Linked DNA regions of Rhinolophus ferrumequinum. The main gene of each other region encodes a partner of the protein of the gene in region 3 in a complex. Links are inferred from orthologs where the notes say so. Each region holds a gene or a part of one and is shown on either strand. Other genes may lie near its edges. The genes, in order: CLXN, ODAD4 and ODAD1.

Region 1 (7,782 bases), on a different chromosome or scaffold from region 3:
CCCAATAAACTTTAATTTAAAAAAAAGAAAGTAATTGAAAATCTCCAAATATCAATGGGATAATTGAGACAGAAGCTTAGTTCATATTCCTATCCCAGAGGGCCTGGATTTGTATGAGAAATAGCACCTTCTAGTCTACATTTCCACTCTGAAGGGCTCCAAGTCCCCAATGAACCTTATAGTCTAAGATGGCTGCTGGAGCTCCTGCTATTAAATGGAGAGGAGCTGGTGAGAGAAGAGGCTTACAAGCCAGGCAGAGGCCAGGTCCTAGAAAATGGTGGAAACCATGCTGTGAGGCTTAAATATTATCTTGCAGGCATCAAGAAGGCATTTAAATATCAAGCAGAAGGAAGACAGGGCTGGGTTTGTGTTTTAGCTAAATCACTGGCAATCATTTGGATGGCTTAAAACATGAGACAGAGGACGAAGTCTGATGCAGGAGCTAGGTAAGGGCAAAGAGAATGGATAAAACAGGAGGTGCAGCAGTGGAGGTAATGAACATGACCACACTTTGTGAGACGGTAGATGAGAAGAAAAGATAAAGCTAATATACTGAAAAGGTGACACAAGATCAAGAGGGTTTTGACTTCCTTCAGGCTGTGAGTGAGTAGGTATGAGAAAATAGGTAGCCTTTTCTTTTGAACAGCTACAGAAGAAGCAGTATCTTCAGGGGAGAAGCAGATTTCAGAGAAGAAAGGTGGAGAGACGGCTTTGTGCAAAGATGGACCATGTAAGGTAAGTGTTCACAACTGAAAAGGAGTTGGTTGTGTATGGTTAAAAGGGGTTAGAGAGATCTAGACTAAGAAATAGTCTCACAAGGTGGTAAGCTTATTGGAGAAAGGCAATTCTGAGAGCTTTCTGTTCCTCTGAGTAATCAAAAACAATGGAAATGGGGAATGTGGTTATAAGAGTGTGGTCTCAATATTTGGACTGGTACAGGCCTTCTTCTGCTCAGTGTTGGCTCAGGGGGCAATTCCAGACATGGTCTGAGAGGATAAGCTTGGTTCAGTTCTGTGTAGAAGGTGTGTGACAGCTGCAGAGAGCTATGATTAGCGTTAGAATGCTAGCAGGTGCTCTGGGCTCCCTTGGAAAGGGACAGGTATCTACTGCCCCTGTGGTAGTTATGCAGATAGGGCAGTTGCCATGACCTAATTCTGGGCACCCATGACCCAGTACTGAATGGGGAGGAGCTCAGTGGGTTCTGCAGGATTTCTTGGTGAGCTCCTCAAGACCTGGAGGAGCAGCTTACTTACTCAACCCACTGACATTATTGCCATCACCATATTACTTATCACCTGCCACATCTTAATTTACAACTTTGTAAATTACATGTATGATATAAAAACCCTATCTCTAGTAAACCTTAGGCATTACTGTACTTACCAGTCAATAGATTATGGTTTTAAAAATTATATAGAAATGTGTTAACACCAGTGAATATTGAGGATATATTTTTGGAAAAGCTCTTCTTTAGTACGAAGCCCCATCTAAAGGCACTGTTATGTTCACAGGGGTTCTCCACAATGGGGTGCTGTGGGGGGGCAGGAAACTTGGGTATCATCTCTGCTCGGGTGATTTTTCCACCACTCTCCCTAACACAGATAATAGAAAGTGGATTGTGTTGTCAAACTTTAGAAGTAGAGAAAGATAGGTGATGGATACAGAGATACAAAAAGACTTAAATGTACCAAGAGAGTGAGTGAGAGTGAGAAAGGCAGAGAAAGATGATGGGGTATGGAGGGATTCACTTTATATAGGGAAGTCAAAAATGCTTTGAATAGTTGCCTTTGAGGATGGGTGGAGAATATGTAGAAGTCTGGGAGTGAGACAACTGGGTGGTTAGAGGTACTAAAAGCAGCTTGTCACTTCAGCATAACAGCCAAAGGGGAAAGTGGCAAGAGAGCAGTGGAGATTCAACTACTAAATAGTTGGCTAAAATCACGTCAGATTTCTCATCACTATCTCTACAAAATAAAATTGGTAACATTGAATTTAAATTATGTGTATAACTTTTATATTTTTCCTTTTGTTAAAGTAATTTCATAATAGATTTGTAATATACTTGGAAATCAATTCTATGATGTTATGTCCTAAACACTTCCAAATACCTTTATCATAAAAGGTCTACATTAAATAAAACACTTTCATCAATTCAAGGTCAAAGTTATTTATGGTAAAATTCCAATTAATTATAAATCAAAGGGAATATTGTTTTGCACACAAAATTAAAGGAAACATTTATAGCATTAATAGTCACTTTTATGTACTTTTTTTGGTACTAGTTTTACTTACAAAAGTATCCAGCTCAAAGTTGTTTGAATTTTGGAAAGTTCTATGATCAATTCATGCACAGCAAAATTTGTGTACAGTAGAAATTAAACAGTTTTTTTATTTTATTATTCCACTGTTGATTGATTTGATATGAGGTAACTGTTCTGGCTTAATTGCTTACTCTGAAAGAGCCCTTAGGGGAAAGATATCCTGTGTCTTCTCAACACAAGCAATTAAAAACTACAAATAGAAATTTCAATTTGCCTTGAAATGAGATTGGCCAACTTTATCAGGCCTATAGCTTGTTGCTAAAGTCTAAAAATACTAAATTCAAAAACGTCATAAGATTGTAAGGAATGCTGTAAAATTTACCAATATATTGACAAAACATGTCCTTAATAAATATCTTTCTTTCCCTGAGAAGGATTTGCAAGACCTTATAGGGAGGTTAACTCTGTAGCCCACTCTCTTAGAGAAGTGAGTTTCATATAACATTGTATTTGGAAATTTTCTGCTAAAAGAATAGCATGGAAAAAAGAACTTGGAGAGAGGGAAGAATGGGAGGAGGGCACCTCACAATGTTTTATTTGCAGGTTAAGGAATTTTTGCCTGATAGAACAGATTTGACTCTTTTAATTTCAACCTTCTGTGGTATTGTCCTTACTTCATTTTTTCCCCTTTAAGGGAACATCGCTGATGGGTCATAGGCTTGAAACCTGTGAATTAAGAACTGATTAGTTCACCCCTAGGTGCTCAACAAGCTCCCAGTGTATGATGTTTGCAGGGATGCCCGGACAGGCCCATCAATGTCCTCCCCACCAGTGGAGTACTGCTCCCCAAGACATGCCAGCAGAAAGTCCCTTCAGAAAACCTAGTAGGAGGGAGCTTCTTAAAAGACCTACCAGCAGAGGCATATGGAGCCCACAGCTTCTCTTGTTAACTAGTGACAACCACTCTTTCGGTTCCGTGTCTTTTGAAATGAGCACTAGTAACAATCTCTATGAATTAAATATTTGCTAGAATTCTGTAATCTAAAAAAAGCTACTAGAGTTTCACAGGTGAGTATAATTAGAATATGTCCACTCCTTCCCATTTGTTCTCTACAATCTCATTAGAAATGTCACAGCTGCTAGACAGGAGGGCATAGAGGAATACTATTTAACCAGAAAACTGTTGGAAACTCATAATCACTATCATTTCACGTTGCTTAACTATTCTCAGGGAATTTGCTTTAGGATAATATTGTCCCTGCCTTCACCAAGTATCTTTGACTATAGTTTCAAACACCATCTCAATCTTTCATTCAACAAACAATTGAAACAGGAAAGAAAATCAGAGACCTCAACACTGGAAATATTTCATTCTGTATTTCTTCACAGTTGGCAATTTTTTTTTCTATTTTCAGTCTAATGATGACAATATGTAAGCTATAAAGTAATTTGTATTCAAAGGTATTTTCCCCTCTGAAGTTAAACAAGTAAATACATGAGAGAATACTATAGGTTTTGTACTCCTGGCTGAGCTAACTCCTTCTATGGCTGTCCTAATTCAAAGAGGATGTTAGATCTGTGGTTAAAAAAAGCAGAAATTCCTCCCACATTTAAGTTGTAAGAACTATCCTTTGTTTGCAGTCACAGGACCTGTCTTTCAAATAAGTAAAGGATCAATTTTATTGGGATATTTTCCAGAAAAGCAAGATTGGACTGTACCCCATGACCAAGTGGCCTGTCTATTTAGGAGGATCTCTCTTTAACTAGCTTAAAAATTGCCAGTGGCTTTTCACAGATTCCACTGACAGCCTCTACCCCTACCCCCAAGAATGAATGGAGGGAAAAAACAAACAAAAAATACAACAGCTTCCAAGTTATTCTTGCTTACAGTAACATCACCCAAAACTTAAATATATCTTGTTTCAGACTCCCTTCTGGTGTCATAGCAAAAGGACTGACAACCAAAAGAGAAGCTCAGCCCTAATAGCAAGCTCCTCACCCTCCTGTACCTGATAAAACAATTGTTTGGATAACACACCTGCTAATTCTTGAAGCTCCTCCAAGTTCCCCCAGATCTCCCTGAAGATCAATCTTAAGCTTCCCTTGGTGTAACATCCACCACGAAAAACATAATTCACACAGCACTCACGATGTATTTTTAGACCTTGATGATGCACAGTGCAGTCCATGAAAGAGGCCGTGAAACCAAAAGACAGCAACAACTGAAAGTTAGAACTCCAGCGTCAATCAGAACATACTTCTGCAATGTGCCTGGCCAGGACCCTCCAAATGGGAATGCTTACCCCCGCCCCAGGAGCCAATAGGCGGCCGGCCCAGCCGTTGCCATGGCCACGCAGTATGTTGGGGATACGCAAACACCCCGCGCACGCCCAGGAGCCAATCAACGGCGCGCTGAGGAGTTGCCATAGCTGCTCTGTGTGTTGGCGCCGCGCAGGCACTCAGCTGTGGAGATCCGGTTGGTTGCCCCAGGCCCAGTACTCGGGAGGGTCCCGGCAGCTGCGCTCCCCTAGACACTGCCACAGCCCGATTCATTGAGGTCCCGGCATGAATCGCAAGAAGCTGCAGAAGTTGACGGACACATTAACTAAAAATTGCAAGCATTGTAAGTAAGAATCACGTGTGGGATGAGCAGAGGCTCTGGTGTTCTACCCGGTGACAATGTCCACTGCTCAACCTGCTTTCCGCCTCCAAGCCTTACTGCCAGTTGAACCCCCTCCATACCCACCCCTAAAAAGAAGTCTGGAAAGAAATACCCAGGTGTTAGCTCCTTGGGGCGGACACCCATGCTTGCCAATGACCTTGAAAGCCCATATCCAGGTGTCCAGGTATCTAGTAGTGCATTCCCACAAGTACATTTACTTTTCAAGCTCTCTTCTTAATTTACCTTTACATTATAGAAACTTGGTTTATGTATCCAGGAGACACATGTGGTTTTAGCCTTTAGAATAAGTGCTAAAAACCACGGACTCAAGAAAAGTACCACAACCAATATACAGCTGCGTTCTAGCTCTCTAGAGCAAATAAACTGGCAGGATACAAGTTCTGGTCACCTACCAAGAAATCCATAGGGAAAATGGTTAGTAATATCTGAACATCTTTAGGAAAGAAACCTATATCAGAGCAAGGAGGTTTGTTTGGAAACCAAAGAACTCACCAAAGCTAAACACGTGGTAAAGAATCTGTTCCTAACTGTAGACTTCCACTTTCCAGTTGCTGGTGGGGTTGCAAGGTAAAGAAGACTTTGCAAGTGACAAAATGAGCACTGATTAAAGACATCTGCTCCAATTGCATATTCTAAAATGTGGTCCTAGATTTTCATAGAACGGTATTCAGACTGAATACCAAAACTGTACCTGGACAGAGAAGCTAAGGATGTGGTTTAGATGAGGAAAATATTGTCACATGAGCAAGTTCATAAATTGTGTGCTGCTTGCAAAACTACTGGCCACTTGAAGAAACAGGAGAAACATAATCCCAAGACCACCCCAACATTGTGCAAAGAAGGAGGAACAGACATGTTTTAATGTAGTTCTAGAGATTACAGTATCTAGTGCCTTCTGATCATATTTAGTATCTAATGCAATGAGTGTTAAAAATGCTCTTCTAGTGGAGTGGTGCTGTAAATGAAAGTTATAGTGTGTATAAGCATCTTAAACTTTGAGGGGGAAAAAAGGCATCCTATAATTGAAGGCATTGTTGTTATTATAATCTGATGAGAGTTTTGTTCCATTGTTGTTTTTCTTAAAATAATTCCATTTCTGGGAAAAGACCAGACCTTTCTAAAATATCTAGTAAACATTTTGAATACACAATGCAATAACTGCTATACACAATGCTGAATTTAATTTAGTCCCTGTTCAATAACTTTGGAATATATTGCAACAGACATTCTGTGAACAATCAAAGTGAGTGTATTAAAAGATAAGTGACAATATGGCAGGAAAAGCAGTCATACTGCTTTTCATACTTACATCAAAGTTTTTCATACTTATGCTTTTCATACTTACATAAAAGTTTTAAAGTGAGCCTTCAAAACTTTGATGATTACCAGTTAAATTCTATAGACATAGAATAGAAAGTCATGGACATTAAAATAATTTAAAATTTCTTTAAACAGAGGACCTTTCCCCTAAAGTCATATCTTAGTTGCCAAATGACAATCCCACTAGGATGAAATGGATAAATTTTATAGAATCAGAGAAGAAGAAAATATCTTACGTGATTATCTAGTTAATCCACCATTCTATAGATATGATCTAAAGAACAAACTGAAACCCATCCAAAAAGATGAAAAGCCATTCTTGAATTTTCCTCAATTTCATTTAGTATTGTATTCTAGAATTTAAGAAACATTTCAGCAAGAAAATTTTCTTATGGTTAACCTTGGATCCTTTGGATAATTAAGCTAATATTCTTTAATTTTTATTTCAGCCGAGATGGAAAAAGACTATTCAACATCCCCTTTGCTAGCATTTCATATATATGAATAGAGTGCATCATTCTTCATGCAGGCTTTTCTTCCCCAACCAGTAACAGCTCTTTTTACTTTTAGAACTTTTTAAAATTGTGGTTAAATACACATAACATAAAATATACTATTTTAACCATTTTAAGTGTACAACTGTATGGCATTCAGCACATTTACATTGTTGCACAGCTGTTACCACCATCCATTTCCAGATCTTGTCATCTCTCCCAACTAAAACTCTGTACCCATTAAACTATAACTCCCCATTTTCCCCTTCCAGCAACCCCTGGCAACCACCATTCTACTTCCTGTCACTATGAATTTCACCACTGTAGGTACATCATGTAAATGAAATCATGCAATATTTGTCCTTTTTTGTCTGACTTATTTTTCTCATCATAATGTCTTCAAGGTTCATTCATGTTGTAGCATATATCAAAATTTCCTTCATTTTTAAGGCTGAATAATATTCATTGTATATATACACCAAATTTTGTTTATGCATTCATCTGTCAATGAACACCTGGGTTGCTTCCACGTTTTGGCTACTGTGAATAATGCTGCTGTGAACACTGGTGTACAAGTATCTGAGCCCGCACTTTCAATACTTTTGGGCATATAACCAGAAGTGGAATCCCTGGATTACATAGTATTCTGTGTTTAATTTTTTGAGGAACTGATATACCATTTGCCACAGCAACTAACAGCTCTTTTAAAAATTATAGTCATTATACTCTTGTCTACTATTTAATCAATTTATTTACTTTCCAAAGTTTTCAATGTTCCTCTTACATTGTGGTACCCCAAATAAGAAATCGTACTCAAGCCTGTTCTGGTCAGTAGGATTAGATGTGATTTCTCCTTTCTTATGTTCTGTCTTCATTTACATGCACACAGGTTCCATCCTTGTTTTTAAAAATATTCAACCACAATTTTGTCTTTTTGTGAAATAAAATCATCCCCATCTTTTACCTATAATTCATATTTAAACTCACTTTAATGCTCTTAATGCTAAGCAATAACCCTTCTACT
Region 2 (8,082 bases), on a different chromosome or scaffold from region 3:
TTCACATACATTTGTCACCGGCTATCAGGCCTTTTGGGCTCTGCCATTGTCTGGAGGGGCAGCAAAAAGCTGCCTGGCCGCAGCCAGCAGGGGCTCTTGGACACAGAATGTACTATTGTGCTGAACTGGCAGCACCCCATGGGGTGGGGAGGAAAGTGGTGGGTAAGAAGGGGACGCCAGAAAAAAAAAACACCCAAAAACAAAACGCTGATGTTGAGTAAAAGAAAGTGGAACATAGAAAATATATAGTATGATTCAATTCACAATTTACATAGAGTTAAAAAACCAAACCTAAATTATATTACTTAGAATGGATACACAGGTGGAAAAACTACAAGAAAAGCAAGGCAATGATTATCACAAAGAACTGGACCATGGTTCTTTCATTCAACACGTATTTGCTGAGTACCTGCAATGTGCCAGTTACTATTCTGGGCACTGGAGCAAAAAAGTTGAATGAAATAAGGAAATATGCTCACCCATGAGTAGCTTACCAATCCATAACCAGTAGCAATAACCAATCCATAAAATAAATAAGGAAGTTATTTAGTGTATCAGAAAGTTTGTGTTACATAAAAAACAGCAGAGTAGGGGATCAGGAATTCCCGAATGGAAGATAAAAGGCAAGTGGGTTGCAGTTTTAAATAGGGTGGTCAGGGTAGCCTCATTGCAAAGGATTTGAGCAAAATACATGAAGGAGGGGAGAGGGTCAGTTAAGTGGCTGAGAAGGAGCGTTCCAGGCCAATTCCAGGCCATTTGGGGCTGAGAGAACACCCAGAGCAAAGGCCCTAGGGAGGAGTTTTCTGCCCTTTTCCTCTTCAACGAGGTAAGGTGGCTGGAGGACAGATGATGGGGAGAGCAGCTTTTATTTTGAGTGAATGGGGGACCATTGCAAGGTTTTGAACAGAATGACATGATCTGACTTGCATTTTACATGGAATAATTCTGACTGCTGTGTGGTGGAGGAAGGAGGTAAGGGTGGAACAAGGAGATCTAGTTAAAAGCATATGGAGGGAATTCCAGAGAGAGATGATGGGGGCTCAGACCAAGGGTGGTAACCAGGAGGGGGGGTGGTTGCCTGGGGAGGGAGGTGGCGGTGCTGGGCTGGGGCTGTGATTTGGGGAGGCCTCACAGGAAGAGCCTCTGTTGACAATATGTTTCTTTTTTAAAAAAATTTTAATTTATTTTAAGTGTGTTTTTCCAGGACCCATCAGCTCCAAGTCAAGTAGTTGTTTCAATCTAGTTGTGGAGGGCGCAGCTCACCACTGGCCCATGTGGGGATTGAACCAGCAACCTTGCTGTTTAAGAGCACCGCGCTCTAACCAACTGGGCTAAACCAGCTGCCCCCGACAATATGTTTCTTGACTTACCTGTATGATGATTACATGGGTGTTCATTTTATAATTATGTATTAAATTGTACATGTGATTTTTATGTGTGTTTCTGTAACCTGTGGTCCACTTCAGCAGTAAAAAAGATACAAAGAGTGTAACATAAAGAGCCAGCTGGGATAGGCTCAGATCCAATTCCAGAGCTTTTTACCCTACCAATCCAACCCAAGGCATGGGTCCCAGCTCAGATCACCTATATCCTGGTGCTGTGTGGCTTAGGGCAAACCCTGACACCTCTCTCAGCCTTAGTGAAACCAGAAAAACACTGCCTGACTCCCGTCCTCACTCGAGTGTGGTGAAGATTACAAGTGCTTTATACACTGCAAAAGCACACATTATTATTGTTATTTCATTGTTTTTTAAAAAACAGTTTATCAATGTATATTGATGTACAATAAACTACATATTCAAACTATACAATTTGATGAGTTTTAATGCATGGATACATCATGAAAACATTACCAGAATCAAGATGATGTACAGACCTTACACCTCCTAGTCTCCTTTTACTCCTTTATATTCTTTCCTGCCCTGCCCTATTGCCATGTTCTCAAGAGGCACCATTTGCTTTGGGGTAATAAAGATTAAGTTTGCATTTCCTAGAATTTTACATAAAGGGAATAATATGGTCCTTTTTGTCTGAATTCTTTCAGTCAGCATAATTATTTTGAGATTTATTCATATTATGCATGTATCAATAGTTCTTTCCTTTTTATTGCTGAATAGTATCCATTATACGGATATATAACAATTTTTTCATCCATTCACCTGTTCAACAGATATGTTTGCAGTTTAGGGCTATGACAGATAAAGCTGCTACCGGTAGCAATATTCCCATACAGGTTTGATTTCTGTTGGATAAATTCCTAGGAGTAAAATGCCTGGGACATATGTTTAACTTTTTAAGAAGCTGCCAAACTGTTTCCCAAGTGGCTATAGTCAACAGTGTATGAGAGTTCCAGTTGCTCAACATCCTTGCCAGCTGCTGATGAGGTCAGTTTTTTATTTATTTTAACCATTCTAATGCATGAGTAGTGGTGTCTCACTGTGGCTTGTAATTTGTATTTTCCTAATGCTAATGATGTCAGAATCTTTCCTGTGTTCATTGGCATCTATATATCTTCTTTGATGAAGTAACTGTTCAATCATTTGGTCATTTTTAAAATTTGAGTTACCTGTCTTATTTTAGTTGTAAGAGCTTTTTATGTATTATAGACACACGTTCTTTGTCAGATACATGTTTTGCAAATATTTTACCCCCAATCTATGGCTTGCCTTTTAATTTTCTTAACACTGTCTCTTGAAGAGCAATGAATTTTAATTTTGATGACATCACCCTTTTTAATTTTTCGTGTTTCCCGTGCCCTAATATTTTCACCTAGTTTTGTAATTTTACCCCTTACATTTAAGTCTTTTGAGTTAATTTTTGTATATGATGTGAAGTAAAGGTCAAGGTATTTTCATTTGTTTGTTTTGTTTTGGCATATGGCTATCCAATTACTCCAGCACCATTTATTTGTTGACAAAATTGAATTTCCCTATTGAATTTCCTTGGTGACTTTGCTCAACATTAATTGATCATATACATGTAAATGTATTTCTGGACTCTCTATTCTGTTCCACTGACCTATATGTTGATCTTTATGCTAATACCATTACTGTAGTTTTACAATAAGTCTTGAAAGCAGAGAGTATACCTTCTCTTTGTCCTTTTTCAAAATTGTTTTGGCTATTCTATGTCAGTACTTTGCATTTTTACATAAATTTTAGAATCAGCTTGTCAATTATTAAAAAAAAAAACGTCTGCTGGGATTTTCACTGGGATTGCATTGGATCTATAGCTTTTCTCTTTGCAGTGTTTTTTTTTTTTTTTCCCAATTAACTGCTGGTCACTTCAGCAGTGTGTTCAACTAACCTATGCACCCCTCTTAACAACCTAGAACAGGACACATTTCACTCCAGTGCATTTCACTCCACTGCTCCTTACATGCCTTATGAACGAACTTACACACGTCTGACCTTCGCTCACCTCCTTGTCTACTTAGGTCTTTCAGCGCCCACCCTATTCACACTCAGCTCAAATGTTACCCCATCTGTGAAGCTGTGTCTGACGCATCCCAAATCCTAACTGGAGCATTCTGAGCCTCACACCACTCTGTCCTCATGTCCCTCACAGGCACACAGAACTTTGAGTAACTTAATACCACGTTAGATCGTCATTACTGTTCATGCATCTCTCTCCCTAATTAGACAGAACCCTTCCAGGGAAGGAACCATGTTATTTGTTTATCTTGGTATTAAAGAAGCATTCTTCTTTTAATTCAACCTTTTATTTTACGATAATTGTAGGTTCATATGCAGTTGTAAGAAATAATACAAAGAGATCCCATGTACCCTTTACCCAGTTTCCCCCAATGGGAACATCTTGTAAAACTTTAGTACAACACAACCAAAAGTTGACAGTGACACAATCCACTAATCTTATTCAGATTCCCTGAGTTCTACATGTACTCATGGTTGTGTATATGTGCGTGTAGTCAAGGATACCTTACTACTAGTTAAACTTTAACAATGATTTATTTAGCTCCTACTCTTGCCAGACAGTTGAATTCTGTAAATACAAGTTCCCTGCCTTAGTACGGTCTGATGGTTAGCACCTTGGCACTGGAGTTTGAGTGCATGGGATTCAATCTTTCCTCTGCTACTTGCTAGTTCAGTGATCTTGGGCATGTTACCCAACTTTATCAGTTTCCTTATGTATAAAATCAAGAAATAACAGTACTTTTCCCATAGGCTTGTACTGTGCTTAGCAGTGTGCCTGGTATCCTAAAACAGCACTCAATTCCTTTAGGGTGAGGTGGAGCAATTTATGCTAAGGTTAGGTATAACGATATTAGCTATTTACTGACCACCTTCCATGAGCAACTGTGTGCCTGACACTTCACTTCTGCAAGCAGCCATAATATAGGTCACATGTTTTAAAAGTAATGTAGTAAAGGCAGGGTGTTTTGGAACCTAGAAGAACCTATTCCACCTTTTTTTTTTTTTTTTTGAGGCTGGGAGGAGATAGGGGAAAATATCAGGAAAGACGTTGATCCAGGCCTGCCACTAGCAGGCACTCATTAAATGGGTTAAATCGAAGGCTGAATCCAACGTTATTTTCCACATTGTCTCATGCAAACTCTCACATTCAGAAGGTTTTATTACCTTCACGTTCACTTCGCAGTTGGAAAATTAAAGGCTCAGAGCCCTTCCATGCCAGCCTACAGTCACGCAATTAGGGAGTGAAGACTGTCCAAGTACTACTCCGGCTCCAAGCCCAGTGCTCTCTCCCTCTGATGGTGGTACACGCGGTGCACATATCCTTGCCATATGCGCCTTATCCCTGTTTGGAATTCTGCCCCCAATCCTCTTCCTATTTTCTTGGCTGTAAACTCTGCACAAGATTCAACTACGGAGAGAATCAATGGAACATGCAACAGCCAACACTGTGAAACACCGCCGCCTTAAACCCATCCAACACGCTCTAGCGGCACCGCTGCCAGCGCACGCTGGCGGCGGTTGTTCCCCTCCCCCGCACGATCGAGCAGCAGGACCGGAAGTAGGTCACGTCTCCTGGTTGCTAAGAGACTGGGCTTCCACAAACCAGAGGTTCTCTGGCTTCTTTTCCTACCTTTCTCCACTTCAGCGTCTCTGAATCTCGTCATCATGTCGGACCCAGAAACTGAAGTCTTGCGAAGCACCTTTCCCTCTTACATGGCGGAGGGCGAGCGGCTTTATCTCTGCGGGGAGTTCTCTAAAGCCGCTCTTAGCTTCAGCAATGTGAGTCACTCTGAACCTGTCACCCATCACCACTTTGGATTTCTGAACCGAGGTCCTGATGATGCATGGAGGACCCTATCATTTCTATTATTCACTTGTTCCTGATTGATGCACCACTGTGACAGATAAGCCCCCCCCCCCCCCCGAGCCATTTTCTTCCAATTCCCACTTGCGTTCTGCCTGATCCTTAATAACCCACCATTCTGTGCATTAACAATGACCTCTTCTACTTTTTTACTCAAATGTTTGGTGCTTGGCTGGCCTTCTTCCACAGAGCAGCCTCTACTTCCTGTCATTGGCAGGGAGATTGGGTGGGACACTCCTTGACGAAGTGAAGTGTCTGGCACACAGTTACTCATGGAAGGTGATCAGTAAATAACTAACATTATACATAACCTTAGTATAAATTGCTCCACCCCACCCTAAGGTGATTGAGTTCTGTTTTAAGATACTACGTACTGGTAAGCGCATTACAAACCTATGGGAGAAGTACTGCTATTGCTCAACTTTATAGATAAGGAAACTGATAAAATTGAGTAACATGCCCAAGATCACTGAACTAGCAAGTGGCAGAGGCAAGATTCAACCCCAGGCACTCAGACTCCAGTGCTGAGACGCAAACCATGGACTGTACTCTCCATAAGTAAGCTATTAGATGTTCATGTAACAATGTCTTTTACAACAAATAGCTCGCTTCTTATTCCAACTGGAGTGGCAGAATAGCTCTCTTATCAGCCCCAAGACTCTTGCTAAAGTCAAGCTTCTCAATTGCTACCCAGAGTCTTTTATCCCTCAGATCATCCACCACACTAAAACCAGAAATGACTGACCAGATGAGTCAACAATTGGGGTTTAGGAGCCCTGCCCCTACCCACTCCCCTCTCTCTGGATTATGTTCTATGTTCCATCCCGAGAACCTCAGACAGAGAGAAAAAAACACCCTGAGGGAAGATAGCTTAGAAGTGGCCTTTTTCCATGACAGTAAGTAGCTATTTTCTTTTCCTGGAAAGGTAAGGGAGGTCTTAGAAAGGGGTCGATACAGCCCAGGCGTCAGGAAGGACACTGCTCCACAGACTGTGGTAATGATCTCAAACAGGAGGACAGAGGACATGCGGAGTAGGGAAGCATTCTGCTCCCACTTTTGGGCCCAAATCAGTTTCAGTTTTGCTAGCATTCTCATCTTAACCCCCTGAAATAGTGATTCATTCTCCATACACTATGTAAAAGGAGGGCTAGTGGCATGGCTAACTCAAGTTGCAGATTGTCCTAAAATCTGTTTTGTCAGCCTTCATAATGCTTAGCCTTTGGATTGTATTTTGAGTGTGTTGTGCAGCTATTTCAGGTTTGTAGTTGAACTTGGTGTGCACCAAACGTACTCTATTGTCTGAGTGAACTGCAGGAATCCCAGACACTCGGGGAAATTCAGTACGTCCACAGAGTAGCATGTTCTCATATCTCAACGAGTGGCTTCCACAAAGCTTGTGATTTGACCTTGTTCAAGATGAGCCACTTACAGATAATCCAGTTGACTAAGCAAAGATCGATATTGGGCTGCTTTTGGTCTGATAAGATCCAAAGACCTGTTTATACTGCCCCAAGGAGTCCGCTTGAAACTCTGGCAGGAGGGTTTGGGCTGCTATTTCCAGTCCAGTTCTACCTAACCCTGCCTGGTACCTGTCAACCTGAGTGGTTCCTTTCTCAGGCTCTTCACATTCAGAATGGAGATAAGAACTGCCTGGTTGCCCGCTCCAAGTGCTTCCTGAAGATGGGAGAGTTGGAGAAATCCCTGAAGGATGCTGAGGCTTCACTCCAGAGTGACCCAACTTTCTGCAAGGTGACTGTATGGGTGGAGGACTCCTTCTTGCTTTCACCGCTGCCACTGTCTGCAGCAGCCTCTGGTTAGAAGTGGTAGAAGAACTAGCCAGACTGCTTAGAGTTTGATGCCATTTTCTCTTCATAGGTCACTTGCCTAGATCCCTGCCTCTGTATTCCAACCTTGACCCTCAACCCAGGACCCTTCTATTCCACCACACCTGAGTCCTGTAAGGTCTCATCTGTCCACCTCAACTGGACTTCCTCTCATTTCAGGGGATTTTGCAAAAGGCTGAGACCCTGTATACCATGGGAGACTTTGAGTTTGCCTTGGTGTTCTATCATCGAGGCTATAAGCTGCGGCCTGATCGGGAATTCAAAGTGGGAATTCAGAAAGCCCAGGAAGCCATCAACAACTCAGTGGGAAGTGAGTGACCATGGAGCCTATGTTGTTATCCAGGAAGTCTCTTGGAATACCTTAGGTTTGGAGGAAGGCCTGAGATGCCTTGGGTGAACACCCAGCAGGAGGCCTGCAGGGAGTCCCATGCTTGGATTTGGCTGCTGCTGGTTTTGTTGAGGATTAGGAGCTGTCCACTGGGGGGACCGATCCCCCACCCACTGGTCTGAGCACTGCAGTGTCTGGTTCTCCTCAAAGCCAGATGGGCATCTGCTGCCTCACCACAAGCTATTTTTTTATATATATATATTTTTGGCCTGGTGTCATAGGATAGAATGGAGTCCTGAGCCTAGCTCTCCCTAGTCTCTGGCTTCCTCCCTGACTGCCTGTGCACCAAGGGCTGGCCTTACCTATCAGCTCATTGGCAGTGGGGAGGAGGAAGGAGAGCCAGAGCTTGTCAGAGGGCAGCAGAGTATGGAAATGGCATGGGTTAGAGAGCTCCCCTCGTTTGGAGATCTGGCTGCCTTAGACTCGTGGGGGCTGCTACCTCCTACAGAAGTATTGCTCCAAACATCCTGTACCATTTATTTGCCTGTCAGACTGGCTCAGAGCCTGCTTTGCAACAACCTCTACCACCCCCCTACCAACGGTAGCCATTTC
Region 3 (7,941 bases):
GCAGCCGCTTGACCTGGCTCTGGGCGACGCTGATCTGCACCTGAAGTTTGTCCCGCACCTCCTCTAGGCGGTGGATCTCCTCACTGCCCAGGCAGGGAGGAGGAGGGGAGGCCAGCAAGGGGCAAAGGTCAGCATCACTAAAGGCCAGATACACTGGGCCTGCCCCAGCTTCAGACCCGAGTCTGACCCCCAACCCTTCAACAGCCCCCTTCCAGTTCTGAGACCCAGGCACTCGGCTCACAGTTGCTTATTGATGCGCTGGTGGACTTCCTTGCTGTAGGCCCGCCTTTCACCCTCCATCACTTTGCACTGCCGCAGCAATCTGCTCAGCTCCCAGTCCACTGAAGGACAGACCAGGCAAGGGACTCAATAGGAATCCAGGCCCAGCCCCTTCCTCCCTAGGACCTAGGTAGGAATCCTAGCTCCCTTAGGGTCTCACAAGCTGCAACTGAACTGCAGACCCAGTCCCCAACACCCCTCTAGGACTGCCTCAAACTTCCTCATCCCTTAGCAAGGTACCCCTTGCTAACCTTGAGATTTCCTCCCTAAAACCCACTCCTTCTCCGGTTTGGGCATACATCTGTTTCCCCACTAGAGGGCGCTCCTGGAGGGCCTCATGGTCCTCAAGGATCCACTGCACAGGACCTGGAACTTGGGAAAGCTGAAGACAGGGGACCAAATCAGCAGTCTTGCTCCCTCCTTCCCCCTCACCCCCAGCTGCTGAGCCATCCTCAGTCCCACCCTCCTGCTCCTCACTCTCAGGCCCTCTCCTAGGCTGAGGCTTCATCCACTCTTGCCTGGACTATCACTCCAGCCTTCTCCCCAACCTCCCAGCCTCCCCTCACAGCCCCAGGGGCTCCTTCTACACTCGGAGCGGACTCTGGCCCTTCCCGGCTCCCAGGCCTTCCCTGGCGCCCCAGCGCCCCCAGGACAGTCTCAACTCCTCAGCCTGGTGTTCAATGCCCTGTAGGACCTGACTATCCACTTCTCCAAGTCTCCACCAGCTCCCCACCTCCCACAGCCCAATGGTTCTCAACCTGGAGCTATTCTATCCCCCATGAGCATCTGGCATTGTCTGGAGGCATTTTTGGTTGTCACAATGTGGGGCAGGTAGCGGAGGTGCAGAGGGTGCTACTGGCCTGTAGTAGGTAGAGGCCAGGGATGCTGTTAGATATCCTACAAGGCACAGAACAGTCCCCATAACAAAGGATTACCTGACCCCCACGTGTCAACAGTGCGGAGATTGACAAACCCTGCTCTAGCCACGTGCTGTTCTCTCTGTTGAAACACTCTCCCCTTTCTTTACCCCTTGGTGATTCCAGGGAGGAGTTCTGGGCCCCACTCAAGCTTGTCCTGCAGTAAGTCTTGGCCCACCCATATGCCTCCCTCCACGTCCATTCCCACACTTGTGCTCCCCACTAGAAGGCTCTCCTAGAAGACCACCTTGTTCCCATGGCTCTGAAGCACAGGACCTGGAATTGGGAACCCTGACAAAAAGAATGAGATAAAGAAAAAGAATGAGTGAAATAAAAGATCGTATGAATTACCCATTCCCTCGAGGTAGGCCTCGCTGCCATTCTCGGAGCGGTTGTTCCCTGCAGAGAATCCTGAAGGCATCTTTCCCAAAGAGGGTGGGACTCCTGCAGCGGTAACACAGGACCCCTTCAGACAGCAAGCAGGAGAGGGCGGGGAGGAGGTGGGCAATGCACAGAGGGATTAGGAATTGGAAGACGACCCCAAAATCAGCTCTGGCCTCTCTCTGAGTCTCAATTCCCCCAATGGGTTGGAGGGGGGACACTTCTCTGGCCTCTCCCCACACTCCTTCCAACCTCCCACCTCTCACATTCTCTGTCTTGCATCTTGGCTCTGATTCTGGCGCGGGGGGACAGGTCCCTTAGGCTCTCGGTATCTCTGAAGGGGGCGGTTTGGGGAAGGGATCACAGAGGAAGGACCGCTGTAGGGAACGAGGCCCCTTCCCTACCTGCTGGAGTGCTTGCCCTGTCCTTGGCGCTCCTAGCTCACTGTTGTGGTCTGGTTACTGGGGAGATAAGGGGAGGGATCGAGGCCGCGAAGAGAGGCTGTGGGAGGGGAGGCTGGGGAGGAGTGGCGGAGGCGGCGGCGAGAATACCTGCTCGGATCCCCGCCCCCACCCCCACCCCCACCACCAGCCCCCCCCCCCGGCTTTAAACAGAACTGTTGGGGAGCCCTGTGAGGGGTGGGGCTGTGGCCCTATAAGGGGCGGGACTAGAAGGGCCCGCTATAATCCGGCCTTCGAGGTTTGCGAGGGAAGGGCTCGGAGATCTGTAAAGGGCGGAGCCGGAAGGGTCTGTGAGGTTTGGGGCTGGGGAAATCACCGGTACCTGTGAAGGGCGGGGCTGCGGGGACTCTCGAGGGGAGGAGCACGGATACCTGAGGAGGGCGGGGTTTCTTGGGCCAAGGAGGGGCGTGGCTGGAAGAGCGCGTGAGGAGTCCGCTGGGAGGGCGCTGGAAGGACCGTGGTTCCCAAGACTTGTGGGGGCGGGGCTAACCAGGAGGCACTCTAGCTGGAAAGGCCTGCGGGCGGTCGGGAGGGGCTGCAAGGGGAACACGGGCCTGCGAGGATCGGGCTGTGTTTCCGGGAATTGGAGGCAAGGTTGAGAGCAAAACATCTGGAAGACCGAGGTCCTTCGGGAAGGGCCGGAGAGAAGCGTATCTTAGGACCACGTTATTTTGAGGCTTCATTAGCAGGAAGGCGGTGCCGGCGCCGGGACTTGTGAGGGGGAGTAATGCTCACCACCGCCTCAGGTCCTCCCAGCACCTCACTACGCATGCGCGGCCAACGGCCTCTTAAGGCACGAAAAATCCCTTCGCTGCCCACGGAGTCCGCAGACTGAGAGGCGGAAGTGGGCGGGGCACCCGGCTCCTCGCACCGCCCCCGCCTTCCGGTCACGCCCCTGTCTGACCACACCTCCTCGCCCCTTTAGTGGTCGGCTGCTGCCCACTTGGGCCTCCCCGGAGTCGGCGGGCAGTAGGCGCTCCTCCCTGCAGGCTGGGTGTGCCCAACGCCTGTGGTTTCCTGTGGGAGGAAACCGCCCGCGAGGCGCTCCGCTAAGCTCGTAGCGTTGGAGGCCCAAGAAGGGGAGATCCCACCTCTGCTCTCGGGGCCTCTGATGCTCCGCCATCACAGGGCCCTAAATGGGAGACCCCCCTGAACATCCCCAGGGTACGAATACCAGGGCGCTAATACCACTCAGGGAACTTGATTCAGAGTCCTGCTCTCCTATTCTCCACCTACCCCGCTCAAATTTCCATCTCCCTAACCTAGACTCCTCCGCGGATCAGTTAGGGGAGGGGGGCTGGCCTCCCTTTGCCTGCACTCCCTGAAAAGCAGTGACCCTCTAGTCCCTAGTTTTTCCTTCTGTGACCCAGACTTTCTATCTTCCTTGGGGTTCTGAGTCTAGACCCCCAGCTTCTGTCCTGCTCAAAGACTTAAGTTTGTGACTACCCACATACTCCCCAAAACAGGGACTCTCATTTTGTACTCCCAACTTTTTAGTCTTGGGACCCAATGGACCGAAGAATTTGCCCCTTCCCCAAATCCTAGAGACCTTAATCTAGGGTCCCCCAGTACAGAACCCACCCAGGGCCCCAATGCCTAGTATAACTAGCACATACAGCAGTGCTTACGCTGTACGAGGCACTACTCAACTTCCCTGATGCGTTCACTATTATTATCCCTATTTTACAGATAGAGAAAATGAACCATAGAGAGATTATTAGTAACTTGCCCCAAATCAGAGTAAAGCAGCTTGGATTTGAATCCAGCCAGTGTGTCTCTAGCTTTTGTGCTATAGGTACCCCAGCTTTCTGGTCTTCGTAAGTACCCACCCAGTCACTAAACTGCCTATTCCTCACCCCCTCTGGGAATCCACATAACCAACCATTCTCCCGCCCCCAGCTCTGGGACCATCAGATACCCAGACTTGCCATGGTCCAGTTCCCTTCCTTTGCAGGGACCCAGAATTTTAGTCTGCCAGCTCTCAGATTCCATATCAGGACCCCAGACACCTGGTCCCCTGTCCCTCACTATTCACCAGCATTCAGCTCTTCCAAGAAACCCAGGTACATACTAGTCATCACCCCCCACCCTAATTCAATAACCCCCAAATTGACAATAATAATAGTTAACATTAGATCCCTGGTACTGTACTTCTGTTTAAAACCTTCCAATGGCTTCCCACTGCACTTAGAATAAATTAGTCCAAACTCCTCCCCTAGTCTTCAAGGGCCCTCTTTGATTTCCCTTCCTTCCACTCCTTCTAACTCCCTGTATTCCAGCCACACTGGCCCTTCTGTCTGCTCTCCAAACAACCTGAGTTTGTTCTCAAGAGCCTTTGCACGAGGTTCCTCTTCCCTGTCTTCAGGTCTCAGCTCAGATATCACTCCTCTGAGAGGCCTAGTCTGACTACTCCGTTTAAAGTAGGTTCCACACACACACACTCACTATCTCTGTCACTCTGTTTTGTTTCTTTCAAGGCCCTTATCGCTATCTGAAATTTGTCTTCTTCATTGATATGTTTTCTCTTTATTCTGTCTCCCTCTACTAGGTAGGTAAGCTCCACAGTAACAGTAGGGTCACATTCTGTTTTCTTTATTATTAACTCCTATTTAATAGATGTTCAATAAATGTCTGATGAAGAAAGAACTGAATGTGTTAAGTGTGTTAATGTACTGGTATTACCTTATTCATTTAGAATAAGTATCAGACTTATTATTATCAGTATTAGTATATTGTCATTATTCGTATTATTATACCCACCTCACAAATTAGGAAACTGAGGCTCAGTAAGTTGACAGAATTGGTCAAGGTTCCCAGGGCAGGAAATACTGGCGCTGGGATTCTTAACTTCCACCTCCTGCCCCCTTTAGAGTTCACACTTCCCCATTTCCCATCCACTGACACCCACCATGGTACCAATTTCACCAGTCTTCAGCCTACTCCACATGGCAGGAATCTGGCCTCCTCCCTCAGACTCTCATCCCTGAGTATCCAGTCCTAAACCCCATCAAGGAATGCAGACATCAGACCCCAGGTCCCAGGACAAGACCCAGAGCAGAGGCCTGAGACTTGGACCCTCCCACCCCGATGCTTGCCCCACCCCAGGGTACTGCTCTGCTCTGTTCCCTCCAAGGACTTCTCATCTCAACCCTGGGAGGAAAACGCAGAAACGATACGTGTCTGGGGGCAGTGGGCGGGGGCTCAAAGAATGAAGAACCCAAGTGCCTGGGCCCTCCCTCTAGCTGCAGACCTCAGCTGGGTGCGGTGAGGGTGGGTATAAAAGGGTCAGTATATATTCAGAGGAACAGAGGAAGAAAAACCAGGAAAGTGAGAAGAGTGAAAGACAGGGGAATAGGACAGGAGAGAGAGACAAGAGGTAGAAGAAAGAGAGAGGAAGGAAGGGAGAGAGGGAGGGAGGGAGAGAAAAGGGTGGAAGGGGAAGAGGGGGAGAGGGGAAGGGAGAGAGAGAGGGAGAAGGAAAGGGAGAGGGAGAAGGAGAGGGAGAAAGAGAGGGAGAGGGAGAGGGAGAGGGAGAAAGAGAGGGAGAGGGAGAAAGAGAAAGAGAGAAAGGGTTCCAGGATTGGAAGGGAGAAGGACTGAGAGGGCCAGAGAGGAGAGTGCGGGAGGGAGGAAGGCAGCGAGGGAGGCGGGGGCCTCGAGAGGGTGGAAGGAGGGAGGAGAAGGGCGGGGCACGGAGGCCCAAGCGAGGAACAGACTCCAACTCTGACTTTTTCCGCTGCTCTCGGTAAGTTTCCAGTCCGTTATCCGAACTGGGATTTCTTTATTTACTTGGGAGTGCAGCTGTTTGGGAAGGACACCCCTATGGAAATCCTTGTAATTTCAGAAGTGATCTCTTAGCACTTGGGTGGGGATTCAGGAAGGGGTGGGGCCCGGCAAAGTTTGGGGGTTCCCAACAGAGCCCTCCACCTGAAAATATCCTGTAGTTTTCCCCCACAGCTGTCCACTCTCCCTTGAGAACCCGGAGATCAGGGCTTTGCATGAGAACACCCGAAGTCTGGGGAACCTCCAGGCCCCTTCCCCTTCTGTTCACTGAAGGGTAGTAGGAGGCTGGCTCCTTCTCAGGCCTCTCTCCTCCCAACAGGCATCTCATCCATTTTTGCCACAAGGTGCCCAGCAGGCACAAGTCTGGCAGCAGGGTGGGGTGGGGATCTCGTGGGCAGCCAGGGGCTGGGGTTTCCCTGGTACTTGGAGTCAAGAGTGGGATGAGTCACCAATGACTCACCCCATCTTCCTCACCCCCCCTCACCCTAGGAGAGGGGTGGGGTGAGTCAAGGATGCCTGTCTCTGGGGACAGCCCTTAGCTTCTGATGAATCTGGAGGGGTGTCCACTTGAATTTTCAGAGCCTGATCCATATGCACCCAGGGATAGGACTCTGAGGAGATGCTAGTCCTCTGAGACATTGCTAGTCCTACTCATTCCTGGACCCAAGAGTCCATCCCTGACCCTCTCCAGCCCCTGGGGAATTCAGGAGTCCGGGCCCTCAGCCCCCTCCTCCCTCCAACCCAGGAGTCTGGACTCAGCCCCCATTCTCCAAGAGGATTCGGGCATCTCACCTGCCCCTGTGCCAACCTCTTGAAACGACCATATCCTGATGTCCCCTACCCCAGGCTTCCACTGCAGCCATGTCACTCCTCCTGCTGGTGGTCTCTGCCCTTCACATCCTCATTCTCATCCTGCTTTTCGTGGCCACTTTGGACAAGGTAAGCCCATGGAGCAGCAGCAACAGGGCCTCCGCTCTCCTGCAGACTCCCCACACGCCCCTCCTCTAAAGTCACTCCAGCCCGACCCCTTTCCCCTGCCATCTACCCCTCTCAGCTCTGCCTCTGATGCCCTGACCTCCTCCCCCTTTCCTGCTAAACCCTTTTCCTCACCCTTCCCACAGACTCCCTGACCACTCCCACTTTCCTCTCATATCCCTACCCGTTTCTCTGTCCATGCCAGTCCTGGTGGACCCTCCCAGGGAAGGAGTCCCTGAATCTCTGGTATGACTGCATGTGGACCAATGACAACAAAACGTGGACCTGCATTAATGTCAGCGAGAATGGTGAGGGGCATTGGGGACTGGTCTGCAAAGGGGAGGGGTAACCCCAAGTCTCCTCCTGGGACCAAGGATTGGGACTCTGCCAAGGTTTGAGTTGGCAGATCTGGGTCTCAATGCTGAGTGAGTAGGACTGATGTATGACCCACCTATCTTGGTGGTGGGCAGCAATATGCTCCTATTCTAAAGAGTATGAGCTAAAAGCCCTCCTCCCTTATGGTCCAGAAAGAGTGGAGGCCACATTCTATAGGCTTAAGGAATGAGGAGAAAGCTCCCAAGATTCTGAGAAGATAGGATTATGTGTCCAAAGTTCTAAGGAGATAGAACTGGTGTTCCGAATGAAAGACTGCGACCAAGTTGTCCAAGTTCCAAGGGGGTGGGGCTGGAATCACATTGAATTTCTAAAGAGATGGGGTTGAATCCTTTCAAGGTTCTAAAGGAGGGGTGAGGGTGACAGATGCATCTGAGTTCTAGAGGGGAGGAGTTGCGTCCATCGAAATGTCTGAGTGGGAGAAGGTGAAACATGAAATGCTTTTCCCCTAAGAGTGAAACAACAATTTCTGTTCTCACCACTTCTATTCCGTGTTGTACTGGAGGTAGCCAATGCAACAAGGCAAGAAAAATAAATAAATGGCATAAGGATGGAAAAGGAAGAAGTGTAAAAAAAAAAAAAAAGTCTCTATTCCCAGTGGGTTTATGTAGAAAATCCTAAAAAATCTACAAAGACACTTCTAGAACTGATAAGGGAATTTAGCAGTTACAGGTATCAAGGTCAATAAACGTGATACTAAGTATCCAAACTTGTATGGCTCTAAATGGCGGTGTGTGCAGGGGTGGGGGTGG

What was found.
Region 1: ODAD1 (region 3) and CLXN share a complex: the UniProt entries of both Homo sapiens proteins name them as parts of the outer dynein arm-docking complex. The link is inferred for Rhinolophus ferrumequinum from reciprocal best matches to the Homo sapiens genes ODAD1 and CLXN.
Region 2: ODAD1 (region 3) and ODAD4 share a complex: the UniProt entries of both Homo sapiens proteins name them as parts of the outer dynein arm-docking complex. The link is inferred for Rhinolophus ferrumequinum from reciprocal best matches to the Homo sapiens genes ODAD1 and ODAD4.

Annotation. Positions count from the first base shown.
Region 1 is NC_046297.1:29,220,733-29,228,514, reverse strand, and holds the start of CLXN (calaxin), read left to right. Parts: upstream 1-4,729; 5' UTR 4,730-4,826; coding exon 4,827-4,884; intron 4,885-7,782. UniProt on the Homo sapiens protein: Component of the outer dynein arm-docking complex (ODA-DC) that mediates outer dynein arms (ODA) binding onto the doublet microtubule. Seems to regulate the assembly of both ODAs and their axonemal docking complex onto ciliary microtubules.
Region 2 is NC_046304.1:37,834,067-37,842,148, forward strand, and holds the start of ODAD4 (outer dynein arm-docking complex subunit 4), read left to right. Parts: upstream 1-4,910; 5' UTR 4,911-5,099; coding exon 5,100-5,213; intron 5,214-6,915; coding exon 6,916-7,047; intron 7,048-7,301; coding exon 7,302-7,452; intron 7,453-8,082. UniProt on the Homo sapiens protein: Component of the outer dynein arm-docking complex (ODA-DC) that mediates outer dynein arms (ODA) binding onto the doublet microtubule. Plays an essential role for the assembly of ODA-DC and for the docking of ODA in ciliary axoneme.
Region 3 is NC_046298.1:43,909,955-43,917,895, forward strand, and holds the start of ODAD1 (outer dynein arm-docking complex subunit 1), read right to left. Parts: upstream 3,145-7,941; 5' UTR 2,410-3,144; exon of another isoform or gene 2,361-2,409; intron 2,138-2,360; exon of another isoform or gene 2,039-2,137; 5' UTR 1,982-2,038; intron 1,663-1,981; 5' UTR 1,618-1,662; coding exon 1,548-1,617; intron 1,057-1,547; exon of another isoform or gene 1,038-1,056; intron 662-1,037; exon of another isoform or gene 579-661; intron 342-578; coding exon 242-341; intron 84-241; coding exon 1-83. Other genes in the region: EMP3 (epithelial membrane protein 3), read left to right, coding at 6,683-6,760, 7,002-7,104. UniProt on the Homo sapiens protein: Component of the outer dynein arm-docking complex (ODA-DC) that mediates outer dynein arms (ODA) binding onto the doublet microtubule. Involved in mediating assembly of both ODAs and their axonemal docking complex onto ciliary microtubules.